Coturnix japonica: one gene and its partner. The protein of the gene in region 1 interacts with the protein of each later gene in a pairwise test. Links are inferred from orthologs where the notes say so. Each region holds a gene or a part of one and is shown on either strand. Other genes may lie near its edges. The genes, in order: FLII and LRRFIP1.

Region 1 (10,939 bases):
CGACAAAAAGATACTCAAACAAAATAGATCTTAATGAAAAGAAGTACAAACCACCTCTTGACTTCTTGCAAGTACTCTGCTCTGTGCATCAATCCAGTCCTTTCCTGCCCCACACCATGAGGCTTCGGGGCAACAGGACATTAAAACAGCAGCAACACATACGTGAAAAGGTCACTTGACAGGCTGGGAGGGGACACCATGGCCTGTTAGATGGGCACTGGTGTCCACCAGGAGGCTGCAGCTCCTGTAGCTGTCAGCCCATGCTGCAGCACAGCAGCTCAGAGAATGTCCATGGAGAACCCTCCTTGGGGGCAGAGCTGATGCTGGCAGAGCAGCCGGCAGCGCTGAGCTCGGGCTGTCATTTGGTACCTGAAATGATTTCCAAAGAGTAACCCTGCCATGGCATTACCTTGCAGCATCCATTGTTCCCTGGCATGGAACAATGTTCCCACCTCACCCCATGGCACTGCATGACTGAGCTCGGTGCTCACAGAAGGACCCACACAGCACATCATAAGCCATGAAGTTTGTAGCAGCATCAAGGGACGTGCGTGCTACAAGGGGCAGGGGAAGCTCTGAACTGCTCAGGTCTCTGTTTGGAGCACAGGGGGAGCCTAGAGGTTGGGATGGCAGGCTGGGAAGGAGCAGTTTGCTGAGATCCAGCAGCCAAACTTGTTCCATGTTGGTTCCCAGCAGATGGGACTTTGCTTTAGGGCTGCATTCCCTGTGGGTAAGGCAGAGCCCCACAGCAAATGGCTTCTTACACCATCACCCATTACTCTCAGGCACGTTTTATTCAGAAAGGAAATACTTTTGTTCATAAAGTGCAAGAACTTGGCCTCCTGCCGACTAGTCAACTAGAAGCATCACAGCCCAGACAGCTGAGGAACACCCCACGCTCAGTAGCTCCCGCTGCACCAGTCACTTCTCTGTCAGCAGGAGTCCTGGCTCAGACACAGCCCTATAGAGCAGGAAGCCCATCTCCTCTATTTCCTCTTCCAGCAGGTCACAGAAAAGGTTGACTTTGGGGTTGAAGTAGCAAGGCAGGACCCCATTCTCCAGGTAACCCACCAGCTCCTCGAGCACTTGCTGGAACCTGGTGGCCAGGCTTTCCTCTGCCCAGTCTGACTCAGTGGTGCTCAGGTGAAGGATGACGTGTGCCAAGGGGCTGCCGCTCAGCTTGTGCAGGGCAGGATGGATCCTGCAGACCCCATTCAGGATACGGAGGCAGTGCTGCCGAGCACCAGCATCACCAGCATCCAGCTCCTTCACCTTCAAGACCTCCGCCCTGCCAAAGCTCTCGAGCCAGAGGTTTTCCACCAGTCCTTCAGGAGGAGCGGCCAGAAGAACTTTGTCCTCCATTTCCACCACTGGGAAGAGGCCGATGCTCAGCTCAACCTGATCGTGTTTGACATCCAGCCTCAGCTCCCGGGAGGCCACGAGCGGGCGGATGACCGTCCCCAGCAGGCTGCCGATGGCCGGCCAGTTGATGGAGGCCACCAACATCTTGTGTAGGGTCTCGTTGAGCACATTGGAGGAGAGGTACTGGCCCACGAGAAACCTGTCCCAGGGGCTGCGCCCACGAGGGAAATACTCCAAGTCAGTCCTTTTGATCATCCAGTACTGGGGGTTTCTCACAACGGTGTCCTCGCCTGGGATGAGGCTCCAGAGAGTGGCATCCAGGACTACTGGCAGCATGAAGTGGATGTGGTCAGCAGCAAGAGCTCCGAGGCCATCGAGCAGGGGACCGCTGAGGAAGAGGCTGCCAAAGGGCAGCTCTGGGCACTTGTTCTGTAAGAAGCTCTGAAGCTCAGCACAAATGCTCCGGGCCAGCTGATGGGCAACTGCCACTTGCTCCTCAGACATAGGGAGGTGGATGCTGTAGTGTGACAGCAGTTTCTCCTGCAGTGTGAGACAGCAGGGAGTGCTGGACTCGACTTGAGGAAGCTCTGGGGGCGCTGGGCAGACCCTGGGTTCTGCAATAAGGGGATGGGGCAAAGGCAAGGAAAAAGTCATGGATCAGCCAACACATCTTCTCATGCCACAGCCATAAAGAAAGAAAGCATGTGCTGAAGTCCCAGCTCTCAGCCTTTGGCCACAAAGCTGATGTTGCCAGGAGAGGCACAGAATAACAGCACTTTCCAGCCAACACAGGGCTTAATCCAAACCCCAAACCCAACAGCACCCAGCTAGAGGTGGCTAAGCCCAGCTAAACAGCAGCAGCCAGACAAAGCACAAACCACCAGGCTCCTTCACAAGGCTCAGCCCCACTGCTCACCCCTACCCTAACAGCTCCTTGATTGCTGAGTCCTGAATCAATCCCACTCTGGGTGCAGTGCCTCAGGACCTGCCCAGCACCAGGCTGGGCTGCTTTCCTACTCAGAAAACACCGCCTTTGCAGCCAGCTGGACAAGCCAGCCTTTGTCTGCAGCAGTTCACAGGCACATCTTCCTCCCTAGACAGAGCTGACCCAAAAACCAAGCGCTGTTCAACAGGAAACAAAGGCAAGGCAGCCTCTACCAACCAACTGGCTGAGTTACCAGACCAACCAACCAGCAGTTATCAGAGGAGCTGCTACTGAGGCACTGCCAAAAAAGGGGCCGCAGCTTGGGAGCCTCCCAAGGGGGAAGACACAATCGGGTCAGCTTTCCGGTCACAGAGCTAAAAATAAAGCCCAGCTCCCATGCACAGGCACAGCCAGCCAAGGTGATCTTCACCCACACGCACCCACCATAAGCATCAGCTGGTGCTGGTGGTGGAGCCGGGGAGAGCAGGGGTTTGCTCAGGTCTTCCCTTCTCTGCTTCTTGGGAGGTTTTGGTGTTGCCTTGATCAGAGCCAGGTCCTGCCAGCTCTCCTCCAGGCTCTTCTGCTCAGCTTTAGGATCATCTTCCTCTCGAGGGCTCGTGGCTCGATCTATCAGCTGGTGGGAGAGACACATGGAGGGGATGTGTGTGTGGTCCACAAAACCCTCACCTCACCCAGAGAACAAGCAGTGGGGGCTCCCCCATCCCAACTGCACTGAGAGCTACAGGCCCCAAATAGCCTTGTTCACATACGGGGATGCTCTACCTGCTGCTGCTCATGCAAACACAGAGAGATGCTACAGATGGCAGAGGGGGAGGAGACCCGAGATCAGCAGCCCCCTTTACAGAAGGCTGCTATTGCTGGGAGAGCAAAGAGACCCAGGGAGGATCCACAGGGAAAACCTGCACAGACACGTTGTTCAATCAGCAGCACATCCCACCCCAAAGCAGGGAGGGGACGGCACAGACAGGGTAACAGTCACACACAGCTCTTCTATGGCTCTGGGAGTCTCATAGATGCACGCAGGTTCCCGAAGACAACGAGGCACGTCTCTGGGACGCAAAGTGGCACATCACCCCCCCAGCCTCACCCGTTTGACGGCCAACGTGGCGATGGCGAGCACGGCCGCGCCGCTGACGCCCAGCACCAGCCTGGCGTTGGCCAGCAGCAGGTCCAGGACGCTGCCCAGCCCGCTGTCATCCCGCCGCTTGCCCCGCTGCTGCGAGAACTCAGCCATGGTCACCTGCGGGAAGGAGGAGGAAGGTGCGGTGCGATCTGACAGCGGGGAGCCGGCTCCGTAATGACACCCGGCGTGTAACGGCCATGGGGGGAAGGCGGGGAGCCCGGCGGGACGCGAGCTGCGGGGCAGCCGCCACCACGGCCGACCTTCAGGCCCACGGATCCCGCTGCTGCCGGCTGCGGTGGTGGCGCCGGGCCGGACCAAGGGTCACCCCATAAAGATCCGGCCGCCAACAGATGGGGACGGGACGAGGGGGCTGCAATGGCACCACGGAAGGGGCCGGCACAAAATCAGCCCCCTTCACCGAGCTGCCAAGGGCAAACAAAGGTAGGACAGCCAACCCCACTGACTGACGGTACTACCCGCGGTTATTTCCTTCTCCGAACCCCAACTCCGAGCCCATCTCACCCCCCACCCCATAGCCCCCCCCCACTTACCCCGCAGCTCCCAGCGGGGCGGACCAGCAGCCCGTGCTGGCGCGCCGGCGCGCCCGCAATTCGCAGCGCAGCCAATGAACGCAGCGCTCCTTGGCCCCGCCTCCAATCAGCGTCAGGGCGGGGCGGGGTGTTGGGGCGGTGGCGCGTCCCGCCGGGTTCCCCGCTGTCATGGCGGCCACCGGGGTGCTGCCCTTCGTCCGCGGCGTCGACCTGAGCGGTAACGACTTCAAGGTGCGGGGGCGGCACCTGCTGTAGGGGCGGTACCGGGTGTAGGGCGGTACCCGGTATGGGGCGGTACCCGGTGTGGGGCCGGGCGGGGTGGGGGGAGAGCCGGCGGAAGTGCCATGGATGGGAGGGACTGTCAGGCCTGTCCGCTCCCCGCCAGGCCCGGCCATCCCCGAGGTCCCCGCTTAGGGCCGGTCAGTCCCGGCCCTTGTTGTGACCCTGGCAGGCCCTGCTGTGTGAGCGGGGCTTTGGAAGGCCGGGAGGTGTCAGCCCACAGTCCTCATCCTGTAGGGCTGGGTGACCTCAGTCTGCAGATCCCAGTCCCATAAGGCTCCCGTCCTTAAATCCCATCCTTAAATCTCGTTCTCATGGGGCTGGGTGATCCCAGTCCCCAGCTCCATAATACTGGGTGATCTGTCCCTCAGCAGCCCCACAGCACCAGCCCTGTCTCTCCATTGTCACCCCACGGGTCATACAGTTTCTCTTACCTTCATGCCCACACAGGGTGGCTACTTCCCAGAGCATGTGAAGGCCATGACCAGCCTGCGCTGGCTGAAGCTGAACCACACAGGGCTCTGCTACCTGCCCGAGGAGCTGGCTGCCCTGCAGAAGCTGGTGAGCAAACAGGGGATGGGGCACTTGGGGGGGCTGCGCAGCCAAGAACCTGCTGCCTGCCTGCCTCGTGTGCCAGCGTCTAATAATAGGGGCTGAGTGAGGAAGTGTGGTTGAAATTGGATGCAGGAGTTGTTAGGAAAGGGGCTGAGGCTGATGTGTACTGGGTTTCACCTTGTTTTCTTAGAAAACCAGACCAGAAACCACACTCTCTTCCTCTGCCTGTTAATAGAAGGGAAGGGTGAAAGTTTATGGGGAGAATTAAAGGTTTGGGCTCTCTTAGCAAAAGCGAAAAAAGAAAAACAAGCAGCAGCCAGCAGCTGCCTGGAATTATTCCCTGGCAGCTCGAGTTCTGTGCGTAGCTGTTGGTGGAGCCCATGGCTGAGCTTTGCTCTGGTGGTTCCTACAGCATATTATGGACATGCTGGAGCCCCCCAGCCAGTTTGGGACCCCAACAGCCCAATATGGGTCAGGGCTGAGCTCTGCTCCCCTCACTACTCACTGGGGCTTTGTCCTGATTCCCCACAGGAGCACCTGTCCGTCAGCCACAACAGCCTTACCACGCTTCATGGCGAGCTGTCCAGCCTGCCCTGCCTCCGGGTGAGTGTCCCGTTGTGCATCCCATGCAGTGGGGATGGTGGGCTCTGGTCCTCCTGAGGGGCTCAGCAGTTGCTGGAGCCGGGTGGTGGCTGCAGTCATTCCTCTCTGTCCACTTTGAAGGCAATTGTGGCACGTGCAAACAGCCTGAAGAACTCAGGAGTCCCCGATGACATCTTCCAGCTGGAGGATCTTTCAGTGCTGGTAAGTGCAGACTCTCCATGCTGCCCTTTCCCACAGTAAGAGCTCCAGCCTGGACTCCTGGTCACGCTCCTTTGTGCTCTTCAAGGAAGCACGTGGGACTGAAGAGCATCTGGAACGTGGTCCCAAAGATGCCCCATGATCCTTGGGGGTGGGCGGTAGTTGTGTTATGGGGGACTCATCCCAGGACTGAGGATGATTCCTGCTTTCATCCCCCAGGACCTGAGCCGCAACCATCTGACTGAGTGTCCCCGGGAGCTGGAGAATGCCAAGAACATGTTGGTGCTCAACCTGGGCCACAACAGGTGGGGATCCTGGCAGCACAGCTCCCCCTGACCGTGACCACCTCCACCCGTCACCTCCACTCCCCTCTTCACTCTGGGTCCCCCTCTTTGGGTTGGATCCAGGGCCACCCTGAAGGTCCCCATGTCCCCGCAGTATCGAGACCATCCCTAATCAGCTTTTCATCAACCTCACGGACCTGCTTTACCTTGACCTGAGCAACAACAAGCTGGAGAGCCTCCCTCCACAGATGAGACGCCTGGTGCACCTCCAGACCCTCATCCTCAATGACAACCCCCTGCTGCACGCACAGCTCCGGTACGGCTCCATTTTGTGTCTGGTTCCCAAGATAGTGGAGCCACGCAGGGCCATGCCCTGATGCTGTCTCTGTGACACACAGGCAGCTCCCAGCAATGACAGCCCTGCAGACCCTGCACCTCCGGAACACACAACGCACGCAGAACAACCTGCCCACCAGCCTGGAGAGCCTGGTCAACCTGGCAGGTAGGGCTGTGTTGGGGTGTTGCATCGGGGCTGTCCTGGTGTGTGTCCTGGTGGCCTCAGCCCCATTTGTTCCCCAGATGTGGACCTGTCCTGCAATGACCTCAGCCGTGTTCCCGAGTGCCTCTACACGCTGGGCAGCCTGCGGCGCCTCAACCTCAGCAGCAACAAGATCACTGAGCTGTCCCTGTGCATCGACCAGTGGACACAGCTGGAGACCCTCAACCTGTCCCGCAATGAGCTCACCTCCCTGCCTGTGCGTGTTGTCCCCATCCCTCCGTCATGTCCCCACTCCTCCATTGTGTCCCTTCCCTGGCTGCAGTGCCAGCCCTCACCCCACCACCTTCCCCTTCCTTCCCCAGTCTGCCATCTGCAAGCTGACCAAGCTGAAGAAGATGTACCTTAACTCCAACAAGCTCGACTTCGATGGGATCCCCTCGGGCATTGGCAAGCTCTCCAACCTGGAGGAGTTCATGGCGGCCAACAACAACCTGGAGCTCATCCCTGAGAGCTTGTGCAGGTAGGGGGCAGCCCCCGGCCAGATTTGAGCTGTCCCCAAGAGGGGACACGTGGAGGTGGGAGATGATGGGGTGGAGGGTCCTGAAGAATGCAACCCTGGCACAGCCCTGTCTCAGCATCCCCCCACCCCGCAGGTGCTCCAAGCTGCGGAAGCTGGTGCTGAACAAGAACCGCCTGGTGACGCTGCCAGAGGCCATTCACTTCCTGACAGATGTGGAGGTGAGAGCCCAGCACTGTGTGTACCCCTGGGGTCTGAGGGATGGGGTGAGGGCAGGGCGCTGCCTGCAGCCTGGTGCATGGTCCCCCATCATCTCCCCAGAGCTTGCAGTGCTTTGAGCACTCCCATCCTACCTCACATCCTTGGTGTTTCCGTGCCTCAGAGCACTGAGTTCTCCCATCCCCTTGGCAGGTCCTGGATGTGCGTGAGAACCCCAACCTGGTGATGCCCCCAAAGCCAGCAGAGCGGACATCAGAGTGGTACAACATCGACTTCTCCCTGCAGAACCAGCTCCGCCTGGCCGGAGCCTCACCAGCCACCGTGGCAGCTGCTGCAGCAGGCAAGTGGACAAGGAGGCACGGCCCTGTGCCATGCCTGGGGGGTCCCGCTGCTTCTCACCCCGTCCCACTGTCCCCAGGGAGCAGCACCAAGGACCCACTGGCCCGCAAGATGCGTCTGCGGCGGCGCAAGGACTCAGCCCAGGATGACCAGGCCAAGCAGGTGCTGAAGGGAATGTCAGATGTGGCCCAGGAGAAGAACAAGAAGATAGAGGTAGGTCTGCATCCAGCCCTGTCCCACCATGGGGTGTCCCACCTGGGTGACCCATCCCTGTCCACGCAGGAGAGTGGGGAAGCAAAAGCTCCGGATCTGAAGACACGGCGCTGGGACCAGGGCCTGGAGAAGCCCCAGCTGGACTACTCAGAGTTCTTCAGTGAGGATGTGGGGCAGCTGCCTGGCCTCAGCATTTGGCAGATCGAGAACTTCGTGCCCACGCTGGTGGATGACGCCTTCTATGGGAAGTTCTATGAGGCCGATTGCTACATCGTGCTGAAGGTACAGCAGGGCAGTGGGGATCCCTGTGTCCCCAGGGCATTTTGCAGCCCTTCTCACACCCTGTCCCTCCACAGACCTTCCTGGATGAGAACGGCTCCCTCAGCTGGGAGATCTACTACTGGATTGGGCAGGAGGCCACTCTGGACAAGAAGGCGTGTTCTGCCATCCACGCCGTCAACCTGCGCAACTACCTGGGGGCCGAATGTCGCTGCATCCGTGAGGAGATGGGGGATGAGAGCGATGAGTTCCTCCAGGTGAGGCTGTCCCAGTGCTCCACACAGCCCCAGCCTTCCATTCCCCACCCTCACCCCCTTTTCTTTGCCCCTAGGTTTTTGATAATGACATCTCCTACATCGAGGGTGGCACGGCCAGCGGGTTCTTCACTGTTGAGGACACTCAGTACATCACCAGGTAGGGCTGGGGGCAGGCGGCTGGGAGGGGGGACACGGGGCAGGTGGTGCCCCATGTTCAGTCATGGCCATCTCTCTCCCCCAGGCTGTACCGTGTCTATGGGAAGAAGAACATCAAGCTGGAGCCAGTGGCACTGAAAGGGACATCCCTAGACCCCCGGTGAGCAGGGAAAGAGTGAGGGAACATATGGGTCCCTGAAAAGGGACAGGGAGCCGGGTCCAAGCCAAGACAGTGTGGCTGCAGCTTTGGGGTGGAAATGAGCTGCCCTTCTTTAAGATCAGGGATTCAAATCCCATGCAGAGGCTTTACCTGCTTCACAAAGACCCCAAGTGTGGGGAGGATGGTGGTGCATCCTGCTCCCTTCCTCATCTGCTCTTATCTCCATGTTCTCCAGCTTTGTCTTCCTCCTGGACCACGGTCTGGAGCTTTTTGTGTGGCGGGGAAGCCGGGCCACGCTGAGCAGCACCACCAAGGCCAGGTTAGAGCTGGGATCCTGGGCTGGGGACCAAAGGTAGCAAGGAGCCCAGCTCACCCTGCGCTCCCACAGACTCTTTGCTGAGAAGATCAACAAGAACGAGCGCAAGGGCAAAGCAGAGATCACACTGCTCTGCCAGGGCCAGGAGAGCCCCGAGTTCTGGGACGTTCTGGGGGGGCAGCCCGAGGAGATCCAGCCCTGCGTCCCCGATGACTTCCAGCCCCACAAACCCAAGCTGTACAAGGTGAGGAGCTGCCGCCCTCTGTGGGGTCATCGCTGTGCCACGGCCATCCTCACCCGGTGTCCCTGTTCTCTGCAGGTTGGCTTGGGGCTGGGTTACCTGGAGCTGCCCCAGATCAACTACAAGCTGTCGGTAGAGCACAAGAAGAGACTGAAGGCTGATCTGATGCCTGAGATGCGCCTGGTAGGACATAGGATGGGGAGGGAGGCTCTCCTGTTCTGACCCGTGAGATGGGTTCTGCTCTCTCCCTGCCTCCAGCCATGCTCTGGGGTATCCTGGGTGCAGGATGCTCTGCTTATCCCAGCTGGCCTTGGGGAGCATTTCAGCCTGGGAAAAGCTCAGCAGTACCTGACCCTGTCCCTCCTTTGTGTCCCCAGCTGCAGAGCCTGCTGGACACCAAGAACGTGTACATCCTGGACTGCTGGTCTGATGTCTTTATCTGGATCGGGAGGAAATCTTCACGGCTGGTGCGAGCAGCAGCACTGAAGCTGAGCCAGGAGCTGTGCGGGATGCTGCACCGCCCCAAGCACGCCATGGTCACACGGAACCTGGAGGGCACCGAGTGTCAGGTGGGGGGACACTGATCTGAAGGGCAGGGATGGGGTTACACCTGGAGCCTTCTGCTCCTTCTCCCTACCCAGTATCCGCTGCGTTTAGGTGTTCAAATCCAAGTTCAAGAACTGGGATGACGTCCTGCAAGTGGACTATACCCGCAACGCTGAGAACGTGCTGCAGGAGGGTGGCCTGGCCGGCAAGGTGCGCAAGGATGCTGAGAAGAAGGACCAGATGAAGGCTGACCTCACCGCGCTCTTCCTGCCCCGGCAGCCCCCCATGCCCCTGAGTGAGGTAGGGCTGGGGATGCCCCACGTGTCCCCCGTGGCAGCAGCAGGTCTGGGACTCCGTGGGCTGACTGGGCACATGGGGATCCACAGGCAGAGCAGCTGATGGAGGAGTGGAATGAGGACCTGGATGGGATGGAGGGCTTTGTGCTGGAGGGCAAGAAATTCGCACGGCTGCCCGAGGAGGAGTTTGGCCACTTCCACACACACGACTGCTATGTCTTCCTCTGCAGGTAAACACAGTTTGTCGCTCCTGGGGCTACTGAGCCCCTGCATCCCCCATTACCCTGCCCAGATCCCACCTCAACCTGTCCCTGCACTCAGGTACTGGGTGCCAGTAGAATACGAGGAGGAGGAGGAGAAGGAAAAGAAGAGTAAAGGCAAAGAGGAGGAGGAGGGTGAAGAAGAGGAGGAGGAGAAACAACCTGAAGAAGATTTCCAGTGCATTGTGTACTTCTGGCAGGGCCGTGAGGCCTCCAACATGGGCTGGCTCACCTTCACCTTCAGCCTACAAAAGAAGTTTGAGAGTCTCTTCCCAGGCAAACTAGAGGTGAGTCCCTGTGCTGGGATTCCCTTGTACTGCCCATGGGGAACTGCTCCATAACCCAGCCCAGGCAGCCCCAGCCCTAAGGATCCCCCTGTGTGCTCCTGGAAGAGGAATATGGGGTCCTCCTGCTTGGCCTTGCTGCTCCCCTGTCCCCCTCTTTCCCTGGACAGAGGGCAGGGGGTGGCAGCTGAGATGAAGATGGCAGAGGTGCCAGCAGCCACCCACACAGCTGGAGCTTGGGGTTGTGCTGGGGGCCCCCTGCCCCTGCTGACACCCACCTTGCCCAGGTGGTGCGCATGACCCAGCAGCAGGAGAACCCCAAATTCCTGTCACACTTCAAGAGGAGGTTCGTCATCCACCGGGGCAAGCGGAAGGAGAAGGCCATCCCACCCCAGCCCAGCCTCTACCACATCCGCACCAATGGCGGAGCCCTCTGCACCAGGTCAGCTCCCCCTG
Region 2 (10,852 bases), on another chromosome or scaffold:
TTTTATAGGAAGCTTTAAACCTGCTGTTAAAAAGTGATTAAGCTGAAGCCATTCACACATTGGCTGGTGTGTGCAGCTTCTGTGCTCACACTTCAATGTGCTGTTCAGAGAAAAACTGCCTTCCTTTCCCGGTGTACTTCCTTCTGCTCCTTTGCTAGGAGCTACATGAAGCACAGGCTGTGTGGTTTGGAACACTGCATCTCCTAGATAGACTGAGGCTTGATGACCTCAACGCTTTTTTTAAACCTTTTTTGGCACCTTTATCTCTGAGTATAAATAGCTGCCAAGCCCGTTCCTCAGCATTGGCTAAGCAGAGAGGAGTGTTAAATGTTTTTGCAAGGTGAAAATAGGCTTTCTCAGTTACTTGTGCATGGAGCATGTCCAAGCTGCTTGATATATTTACTCACTTCCATTCCCTAACAAATGTTATGCCACAGATTCAGGCAGCATCTGCAGATTTTTGCATGACTGTACTTAAAATGCTCTCCTTACAGAGGGTTGGTGCTGGGCTTTACAGACAAGTGAGTCTCTCCATAGATCACTTATATACAGCTACTGGAAGCAGCTCTTTCTGCAGTGTATGCATGCAGTTCTTAATCAGTTTTCAGATTGAACTGCTTACTGGATTTCCTGAAGAATCACTTCAAATGGTCACTTGCTTTGATGGTATTTTGTGTGAGCAACTGGACAAGTTTACCTTTCATGCCCTTCAGTCTGAATTGATTTTTATTTTTCTCTTAACAATTGGGCTTGGCATATGTAGATTTTTATCAGCACCCTGCCTTGTAGGAGATAGGAGGTACATGGGTTCAATAATCTCATGTTTCTGCCAGGGAGGAGCAGGTGCGCGGAACCTGATCTGGATTTCAATAGAAGCAGCCTAACTGATAGAAGAAGATACATTGAAGTGTATCACTGTGTTGTCTTTTGTTGTGTAACCTTAAAGCCTACTGTAGTTACCAGCAAGCTGCTTTGTGATCATTATTGTGTTAATATTTTTCAGTGATTGCAGGCAAAGCAGGTGTCTCTGAAACCTGATGTTCTGTATGTCTGTGGCTGTACACAGACAGCTGCTGCATTAAACAACCAAAGGAGCATGATAGGCTGTTAGTGCTCACAATGAAGCCTGTGCTAGACTGGTGACCATACCCAGGGTCCATTTTTAAGAGCACCAGGGCCACTCTGTATGCAAGGGCTGGTAGCCAGGCTGGAGCTGGGATCGGGTAATTGAGCCAGGACATCAAATCACAGATGCTGTAACGCTGGGCTGGGAGGCAGGAGGCAAAATGCTGCATGTTCTGCTTCTATGGAAGCATTTAGTGCAGTTTTCCACTTTTCCTTGGAGCTCTGAGGTGCTCCCACTGAAAGCAGCATAACTGTCACCAAAGTGCTCTGCTGTCATATTTATTCCTGCTCATTCACTTAAAAACAAGCTTGGCAGGCAGCTGTGGCAGCCAGCAAGACGTGTTATGAACTCTTTAAACCACTTAATGCTCTGTTTTATTCCTGCAGCAGTAAAGTTCTGAGTGCCAAAAGCTTCTGAATACCTTTGAGTACCTGGCACCTTGAGTAGCTGGTATTTAAAGAAATAACGTAGAGGTTTTGTTGGAGGTGTTCAAACAGCATTCATGAAGGTGAGGATGGAAACACTGAACATAGACTATAGGCAGAATGAAGTCTGGAATTATGTTTGTGGGAGGAAAATGTGGAATCTTATGACAGACTTGAAGCACCTCCATCCTTTTGCTACCTTTGTTAGTTTGCTTCAGCTTTATTTTTCCCTTCTTTATTCTTTGTATAGGTGATTGAAAGGCATTTGGAAGGGCAAGTGATTTAAGGAAGTCTGAAATAACATGTAGGTACACAGAGGAATAGGCCTTCTACAGTGGTCATGTATCCTGTTTGTTATCCCATAGTTATCTTTAAAAGTGCTGATATCTTCATCCACATTTTCCATGACAGAGTTTTCAAGCAATGGTACTCTTGTACCAAAAATATGGTGCCCCTGCATTGTGTGATTGAAGCACTGCCTCTTTGGTTACTCAGAATGTTTGCTTTGTTTGTTACTCCCTCTTGTGGGTTTCAGGACAGGCTGAACAGGCTACAGGTTCACTCTTGGCCTTTCCGTATGGAGCAATTCATCACCATTACTCCTCTGCTATGCTAGATGGGATGCTGACCTTCAGACTTGCCTCGTGCATACATGGGAGAATTAGAGCATTCTTTTATTTCAAACAGATTAAGTCTGGGTGGTACCTTTAAAAAAAAAAAAAAAACAAACAAAAAAAAACACTTTCTTCCTACTCGTGTTCAGAAACTTGCAATTAATTCTGTGCCTTTAATGTGTAGCGTGGCTTGTTTTCTCATAAAAGTAGCTGAGAGTATGTCATAGCATTTCTGTCTTGCAGACTTGGCAGGCACATGATACAGTGACCGTATTACGATCTCTCATATCTCTTCTGCTGCAGTCAGCACTTCTGAGTTGCAGTTTGCAGAGTGTTGCTCTTGTCTGCAGAGAGCTGCTATGCTATGTGAGTTGCTCCTGAAAACTAAATTCCATAAAAGAGCTGTGTTTGCTTCCAGCCTGCTCTCCTTTGTACCTAATAAATACAAGCGAGTTAGCTGTGCAGAAGATTAAGCTCTTACTGGAGTTTGTGATTCGTTCTGCTGGCATAATGCTTTTGAAATGTGTTGTGTGAAGATTTCAAAGTATTACCTCTCTCATTTGTTTTCTTCCAGAGGAACATTTAATCTTTTCTCTGGGCAAGAAACAGAAGCATGGTGCAAGTCTGTATTAATTGATGACAAAGGCTGGTGCAACCTACTGATTAGTTTTTGGCATGAAGATTTGAGAACTTCTCGCTGATACAAGTAGATTTGACCTATAGCAAAATGTAGAGGTCTCACACTAAGGGTGATTGTCAAGCAGTTCACACATCCTAACTTCAGTCTTAAGCAACTGAACATAACATTACAGTGTGTCTTGGCTTTGGAAGCTGTTCTTCTGTATCAGCATTTTGTGTGGCCATGCAATGCACTGAGTAAAAAGCTCTCAGGAAACTTTTTCTGCATCAGCTCTGACCTCTGGTCTGACTATTGGACACTGGAAATTCAGAAGTGTAGCGCCTTTACTGCGGAGCTGTACTTAGTGTCTCATTCACAGAGCTGTGCACAGTCTCACTCTGCTTTCCAGCTGATTGGAATGATGATGGCTTTACAAATGGAAAAAGTCTACACCCAGCTCAGCCTGGTTGAACCATTGCATTTAATTGAGAAAGGAAAAGTAAGTACAATCTGTATCTGGTGGTTCTTTATGATGCATTTTGATTTTTAGGATAGAACTTACTGGACTGAAAAACCTTCTGTTTGTGTCGAAGTTCTTTTTGTCTTTGCAGGAGTAACACTATACATGTGGCTGTAGCAGTGGCTGCCCTTGTTTTGCTCATTTCAGAAACTGAGATAAAGCAGACACCTTGTAAACAGGAAAGAGGAGCAGCAAGTTCCTTTCATTCCAGGGCTAATCCCTAAAAATTAATGGAAGAGCTGTTTGTTTATAGAAACAGGACTATGGCTGTTAAATCTTGGGTGTTGCAGGCTTTGGCTCTTGTCCCATGTTCTTTTATTTTCCTCTGTAACTTTTACTTTCGTAAGCATCTTAATTCCTATACTCCTTGTGCTCTTGCTTGATATTCATCATCTATTTTGTCTATATAATGTTTTCAACGTATCCCACCATGTATTTTGCTTAGTCTGCAGTATTTTCAACCTGTCCCTCAAAGCAGCATTAGTAACTTTTGGATTATTTTTTCTTCAATTAAAAGCTTATGGGTGCTGCTTTAAGCTGAGATTTGTGACATGTGAACATGCTAAAATTCTGGGCCATATTGCACACTTATTCAGATGAAGTTTGGAATGCTGTGGGTACCACACTTTGGTCTTCACTGACTATATTGATTGTAACAATCTCTGACTAGCAGTGGTTATTTATATTTCAAATGCTATTACCAGTCAGGAACAAAAGCTTTGTTTATGTCCATGTTCAAAAAGGTGCTGGCATTCACCCAGCCCTGGAGCCCTCCCTGACCTGTGTTTACTCTATAAAGAAGCCACCAAAATAGTGCTGTTTATTGCAGGCTCCAAATATGGCTATTGTGCTTGCTTCTTCCATAAGCAGCATGGTCCAGACAAGTGTGTTTGCTCTTTGCTGATGTGTACCAACAGCTGAATTCAATTAGCATGCGTACTTCCTTACTGAAGGTCTACTGAGACCTGGGCGCTTACAGACCAGCCCTACTGTGAAACATGCCATTTGCAGCTTGGCTTTAGCTAGAAAGAAGTGGCGGAGCATTATCAAGGATCTGAAATACAGTTCAATTCATTTTCTGTGTGTAGCATTGTACTAAGATGTCAAGCTGGAGAGAGCGCAGAGCCATTATGGCAAGTGGAAGGGATCACTGAACACAGCTTACTGCAAGTGGGTGTTTTAGGAGACAGTGCTGTGGACCTTATTATATTCTTGTCAAAGTGCAGTGTTTGCTCTTACTGTCGGTTGGTTTTCTTGGGTTTTTCCTACTGGATATCATTTTAGATTCAACAATTGTGATTTGCTTATCTGTCTGAAGGATCCAGCTGTTTCCAAGGTCAGCGCTGAGTGCCTTGAAACTACTTTACGTGAGTAATGGTCTTGAGCTCAAGTACGTGAATGAATGAAGTCTTGCATAGGCTGTATAAAGCTCATGGCTTTATTCTTTGAGATAACAGCTGTGAAGTGGCATCCAAATGCTTCCCTTATGGGAGCAGTCACTCCCAGACTAGAGTTGATCAGGGATGCTAACTGAAGATGTGACTGAAATGCTGATACAGTGTTGGTTCTCTGCCAGGTCAGTACACCACCTATAGAAAAGTGGTCAGGATAGGAAACTGCAACATGCTCCTGCAGGTCTGCCCACAGCCTCTGCGCTGGGGTTGTTCTTACCTCCCTTCTGTGCTGTATTTGAGTACAAAAATGGGATGGGTATTGCTAAACAGCCGTGAAAATGGTATGCCCTCTTTGTATACAGATCAACCAGTTTAGGATCACTTTCTGTTTGTAATCAATTCTCTTCCCATGCAGGCTCTTTAGCTGCAATATTTACACAGAAGTGTTGGGGTTTTTTTTTGTTTTTAATGGCCTGCAGAACTGATGAGCTGTCACACTCATTTTCTTATGGAGCATGTTGAACTCTGCAGCATTTTCACGTGGAGGGGGTTTGTTTAGATTGAAGGAGGTGCTTCCAGCACTGTCCCTCCTCCCACTAGTCCAGAGTGCCTTAAAGCAGAGCCCTGCTTATAGCTGAACCAGCTGCAGTGAGCCAGCGGCCTGGGATGCACGGCAGGCCCAGTGCTGTGCCAGAGACCACTCTAGGAGAGCAAGCCCCTGTGGAACTGCTCTGCGAACTTGTTATTGATAGTGTGCATGAACTACACAAACAGGTAAGAGAAAAAAAGAGACTTTATCAGCTTTCTGATTAATGCATGAATTTCACAGCATCATGAATGGTTTTCCCACCCTGGGAGGTTTAAAAAAGCAAAGGGTTTGCTAAGGGAATGATTGCCGGCTAAATGCTGCTAGGGTCTATGACAATTGTTGCATGATACCCCCCTTTTTACAGGTGTGTTAAGATTGATTCCTTGTGCTGGGGTGAGCTTTGGCAATCCGTGCGATCTCATGATGGAGTTCAGTTATTGTTTAGACTGTATTTTTAGCAGCAGCCCTTTGTGACTGCATGGCAATACAATTTATGAAGTAAGATGCAACTCCTTAATTGTCTCTTATGTTGTAGAGCTGTACGCAGTGTTCACTGCAGAGCTCCGCAAAGTAAACATTTGCTTCACTTATGGGGAAAGGGTTCTTGTCAACGAGACTTCCCAGCTTCTGGTCACATGCTTGAATTATCTCTGAGATGCATTTTCTGGCAAATGCATAAGCAAATGTTTTTCAAGTTCATGCTGTTCTTATGTAAATTCCTCATTAGCTATGGGTTTCTTCCCCTCTTCTTGGTGTCTGGCTTAAAATGTTAAGCATGGAGAGCAAGAATGCTGACCCATTAAACAGAGATAACTTGTGCTTGCACCATCGAGATGCCAAAGGGGAATGTCTGCATGATCGTTCTCCTGGCACTTGAAGTTAACAGAGGAAAAACTAAGTTCTGGAATTCTGAGGAACAAAATAAGAACTTGCTCTTGGGACGCCCTTGCAAGACGAGCTTGCCATGAGAAATCCTAATTTAACCTCCCAACAAACCCTGGTCTTGCAGGATTGTGTGGTGTGAATTAGTAAGTCAGGAAAAGATGCTTAGGTTGCTGCTGGGCATCACGAGGCACAACAGCTCTCTTTTTGGTCAGTTTGCCTCTGTAGGTGTCCTTAAGCGTTGGAAAATTGGACTCTTGTCAAAGTTAATAGTTCTGCTAAGATGTTTAATGGCGTGAGTCTTCCATGTTTGCAGGTACGTAAGGTAAAGAAATGACTGTTGTACATTTGAGTTGACACAGTGTTTTATTTCTCTGTAGTGAACGTGGAATGTTGTAAGCAGTTTTCTTTCTCTTCCTTGCTGTGTCGCCATCTAGCCTCAATCGAACATTATCTGTTGATACTGGCAGCATGTTCTTGTGATGAAAACCGGACATTGTTTTCCTAAGAAGCATTTAGTTGTGTATACTTGAGTCCATTGCCTTGGTGACAGTTTACAAGGAGGTTTTGTTAACTCTGCCAGCTGAGCTGCAAGTGTGCCAGGATGCCCACAGCAGGCAGTCACAATGAAGTGAGATACATATGTAGTTTCTTGTCTTCATGACTTCGGTAGGTTGTTACTCCATAGGTTGTTATAGACATTCTTGAAATTAGAACAAGATCATGAACTGAAGGAGGAAAAAACCCTTGAGTAACTACATTTGTCTATTACAATGTGCTTGCCAGCCTTTTTGTCTATAACTTGAGCTTTGCATTTCCCCTTCTCGCTGTCAGGAATGCCAGTAATAAATACAATGCTAGCATTCTAAAATATGCTACTTGAAGATAAAAAGAAGACATAATATTTTCTTTCGTATTATTTTTAAGATATAAATGCGGTCAGCAGAGTTGCAGATGGATGCGAGGGACAGCATTGCAGTGTGGCTGTTAAGATTAATATAGGGGTGGTCTAATATGGAAACGTGTTGCAGGTTTTCTTGGTGCTATTATTTGTATGTTAAGCTTTTGGCCTTTTTTATTCTAACTCTAAGTCTAGTGATTGACTCTGGTGTAACATGCCCTGAGGACATCAGTTGGGTGTGACCTGTGTTGGAGGGCTCCCCTGGGTTTCACAGCAGTTGTTCTCTGTCAGCTTAGTGGTTCTGAATGGCTTTGGAGTACAATCAAGTAAGATGCGGCATTGGCTGCCTAGCTTGCATCTCAGCTGATGTAGTTCAGCATCATGTGTGCTTGCTTTCTATTTCAGTGCCTGGAGAACCCCACAGAGCACCAGAGGAAGGAGAGGTGAGGAAGAGAACGTGTCTGTAGCAGTTCCCCTTCCTGGGAAATCCAGCAGCACCAGCTTGCAAATCCAAACAGAATGTGCCTTGCTCTATGTAGAATCAAGGCAGACGTGCCTTGAATGCTGCCAACTGTATATTACTAAGGGGGAAAAAAAAAAAAAGGAAATTCAGAGGTATTAAAATGACCTCCTAATCCTGGAAGTCTGTGGCACACTGTGTGTTTTGGCTTACCCTGAGGTTTGAAGTGCTTTCTCAAGTAAGCCCATTGAAAACAAACATCTTGGGTTCTATGTTGGTTTTAGAAGTAACTGAAAAAAGGTGTGTGGGGGGAGATTCTTAGTATCATAGGCCTCATACAGGAAGTATTCACGTTTCTGGTATATCTTTGTAGTGACGCACAGGATACAAATCTGTACAGGTCTGCCAGTAAAAATTAGAGGGGAGTTGGATTCTTGTTGGTCATGAAAGCCATAGCAAATCACCTACTTTATGCTCATGTAAAATTCAGCATACTTCTTCATGCTGAGTTACCACGCTTTCCTATGTGAGGAAAGACAGTTGTCTGGAAGAGTTAACTTCAGAGACTGGCTCCTGTCCCACCTTAGGGGGAGCTGCCATTACCCAGGAGCGCACTTTCCAAGCTAGTTTTGGTTTGGGGGTTTCTGCAATGCTTTGCTCCACTGTGCTGAGCACTGCAGGATAACTGCTGGGTGATGTCAGACTGCAGCTCTAGAGCAAGGGAATCTGCTGTGCCTTAGAAGTTGTGTGAGGACCTGGAATATTTGTTATTCTTTCAGTCCTGTAAAATTTGTCAGCAAGAGCAGAGAATGCCAAAGCATGAGGGAAATAGAGCAGACTGGAGCTCCCTCCCATTGCTTGTGATGGAGGAGCAGTGTGTCTGTCTCGCCTGTCCAGGAGCAATAGGATGTTGCAGGGTCTCCCAACCAGTGAAAGCAGCCAGCTGGTTACCTTCTGAATGCAAATAGTGCCAGCGCTTCCAAATTAGCTAAAATATTGTCAGCGGCATGGAAAATACAGGAACAGGGTGCTCTGCCAGCAGGAGAATTGAGCTCTTCGTTCAGGGCTGGCAGCTCATGGAAAAACTGAGCTCAGCTCCTGGGCGGAGACTTCATGAGGTCCCCACCTTTGCCTGTGACCAGGAAAGCAAGAGCAGGGTTTGGTTGTTGGTGACCAGGAAAAAGAGAGCAAGGTTTTGTTGCTAAGGGAGCGCCCTGTTTTGCTTGTCTGGTGTACCGCGTGCCAGGAGGAGATGACTTGTAGCGCCTGCTATTGTTGCTGCTGCAAAACCTCTGTGGGTAAAAGGAGCTGCTTAGGGTTTTCTTCATACCCCAGTAGCTTCCTCCCTGCCCTCACCTCTGCTTTCCAGGCAAAATCAGGAGGGCTGCATGTGGCTCTGGGCAGCCTGGTCTGGTGGTTGGTGACCTTGTGTGTAGCAGGTGGTTGGGATGAGATGATCATTGTGGTCTTTTTCAACCCAGGCCATTCTGTGGTTCTTATGCTGGTGCACCTGGTTTACACCACTGCCCTGAGCTCAGCTCTACCCGAACCAACGCAGCGTTATTGATAGAATTGCAGCAAATTAGAGGCAGTTGAGTGCTTTATTTCTGAGATGCGAACGCCGATGGTGTGAATGTCTGCGTGTAAGCATCTGTTCGAGTGCTTCCTGTTGTTAACATTCAGTGTGCTCGGAGATATGCAGCTCGGCTGCGCTGCCCAGAGGGCAGCCATAGGCTAAGCGGGTGGTTGTGCCGTTGTTGCCGGCGTTTATCTCCAGCACATAAAGGAAGCTGTAAGCCTGGGAAGCTCTGCAGCCGTTCTCACAATTGCTTTCTCTTTCTCTACACCAAGAAGCACGCTACGTGCATAAGAGTCTTCACCAAAAAAGCGGCGTGAATAGCAATCGGTAGAAGCAACAGGCGGCGTGCTGATAAGAGCCAAGAAACGCGTGTAGTTGTCACATCGGTGCCGGCGGGCGCTGCTGACTCACAGCGAGTACCGACAGCCCGCGGGCACGGAGCGCTCGGACTTCGGCTCCGGGAGGTGCCGGCAGCGCGTCGTTCTCCGCCAGCACGAGCCTGGCGGGGTCTGCTCGGAGGGGCCGGGTGGGGCTTTTCTCTTTCATGCGAAGATCCAACTGCAACGATGCCGATAGAAGCGGACTGCCTGAGCCCAGAGGCTCAGAAACTGGTACGGCGTTGGGGAGGGTGGGGGTGCTACGGCTCTTACGGTCCGAATCACAACCGGGCAGCACCTGTGCTCATTTAACCCTTCGGGGGCTGCTCTGCATTTAATCGGCTTTCACAACGCTTAGTAAGCGGTGCCCCCAATTGGGTATGTTTGCCCTGAACTTGTCTGCCCCCAGTTTAAACCGTAGCGAGTTTGGTTTTATCGCCTCTTGCGGGACAGTATCTTCGCAGTCTGCGTTACAGCCCAGGTTACCCAGCTGCGTGCAGTGAAGCTCTCGGCCGCTTAGCGAGCTGCTGAGCAATGCTGCGCCCCTAAATTGCTTCCTCCGGGTTTCTGCTGTGTTACAGCTGCACGTGCCTTTGGCTGAACTCAAACATTATAATCATAGATGCTTAGAGAAAGTTCTGCTGTTTGTTTTTCTTGCCTGTGAGTTTGTAAGGTTTGGAACAGTCTGTGAGAACAGCCTCAGTTTGGATGCGCTGTGTAATTAACAGCACCTCTACAGCAGTGGGGTGCCAACTGTTGGCATTGACTGGCACCCACGAGTAGCTAATTCTTCCCTATGCTTCGAGTTTTCTAAGCCCTTTTAAAAAGTAAAGTATAGGAGTGTGAGTTATTTGCTTTTCAAATTGACATGGGAGCAGATATGCCAACTTAATTTCTTTTTGTGCTTTGTAAGTGAAGTTTAAAAGCAGCCCTGTGTCTCCATGGAGTTGTAATAGGCGTTACTGGGCTGCCGATGTGGGTTGGTGATGTGAACTGTCATCCTCCTGGATCCTCCCTCACTGTCACCCCATGGAACAGAGGGAAGCTGTCAGACCTGTCTGTAATGATCCCCACTGTCTGAAGGATGATGGTGGCCTGTGGTTATTAGAAAGGAATCCTTACCTTTATATTTAGTAATCATTTGCATGTAAGAGAAAGGTAAAGAGCTGGGCAGGATGTGGGCTGACCAATCCCTGTGTGATTCACTGGCTGATCATTACATGAGTAAGTGGTGCAAAGTGTACTTAGGCTCCCAGCTCAGATGCAAAGAACATCAGGTAGATACACTCCAAGCATCATCACGTACAGACACCCTTGTTTCAGCGTGAAGGAGCAGGTGATTATTCACGTTGAGCTCCAGGAGCTC

What was found.
Region 2: the proteins of FLII (region 1) and LRRFIP1 interact in binary tests that used the Homo sapiens proteins (3 or more experiments, as listed by UniProt). The link is inferred for Coturnix japonica from reciprocal best matches to the Homo sapiens genes FLII and LRRFIP1.

What each region holds. Positions count from the first base shown.
Region 1 is NC_029529.1:5,093,576-5,104,514, reverse strand, and holds the start of FLII (protein flightless-1 homolog), read left to right. Parts: upstream 1-4,109; 5' UTR 4,110-4,150; coding exon 4,151-4,213; intron 4,214-4,711; coding exon 4,712-4,822; intron 4,823-5,347; coding exon 5,348-5,419; intron 5,420-5,539; coding exon 5,540-5,620; intron 5,621-5,836; coding exon 5,837-5,922; intron 5,923-6,055; coding exon 6,056-6,217; intron 6,218-6,299; coding exon 6,300-6,403; intron 6,404-6,480; coding exon 6,481-6,656; intron 6,657-6,762; coding exon 6,763-6,920; intron 6,921-7,053; coding exon 7,054-7,138; intron 7,139-7,328; coding exon 7,329-7,476; intron 7,477-7,554; coding exon 7,555-7,688; intron 7,689-7,757; coding exon 7,758-7,970; intron 7,971-8,044; coding exon 8,045-8,224; intron 8,225-8,298; coding exon 8,299-8,381; intron 8,382-8,465; coding exon 8,466-8,540; intron 8,541-8,775; coding exon 8,776-8,859; intron 8,860-8,928; coding exon 8,929-9,100; intron 9,101-9,175; coding exon 9,176-9,280; intron 9,281-9,474; and 10 more. Other genes in the region: MIEF2 (mitochondrial dynamics protein MID49), read right to left, coding at 922-1,976, 2,732-2,921, 3,396-3,542. UniProt on the Homo sapiens protein: Is a regulator of actin polymerization, required for proper myofibril organization and regulation of the length of sarcomeric thin filaments. It also plays a role in the assembly of cardiomyocyte cell adhesion complexes.
Region 2 is NC_029522.1:8,637,418-8,648,269, reverse strand, and holds the start of LRRFIP1 (leucine-rich repeat flightless-interacting protein 1), read left to right. Parts: upstream 1-5,349; 5' UTR 5,350-5,364; coding exon 5,365-5,472; intron 5,473-9,245; exon of another isoform or gene 9,246-9,675; coding exon of another isoform or gene 9,676-9,720; intron 9,721-10,852.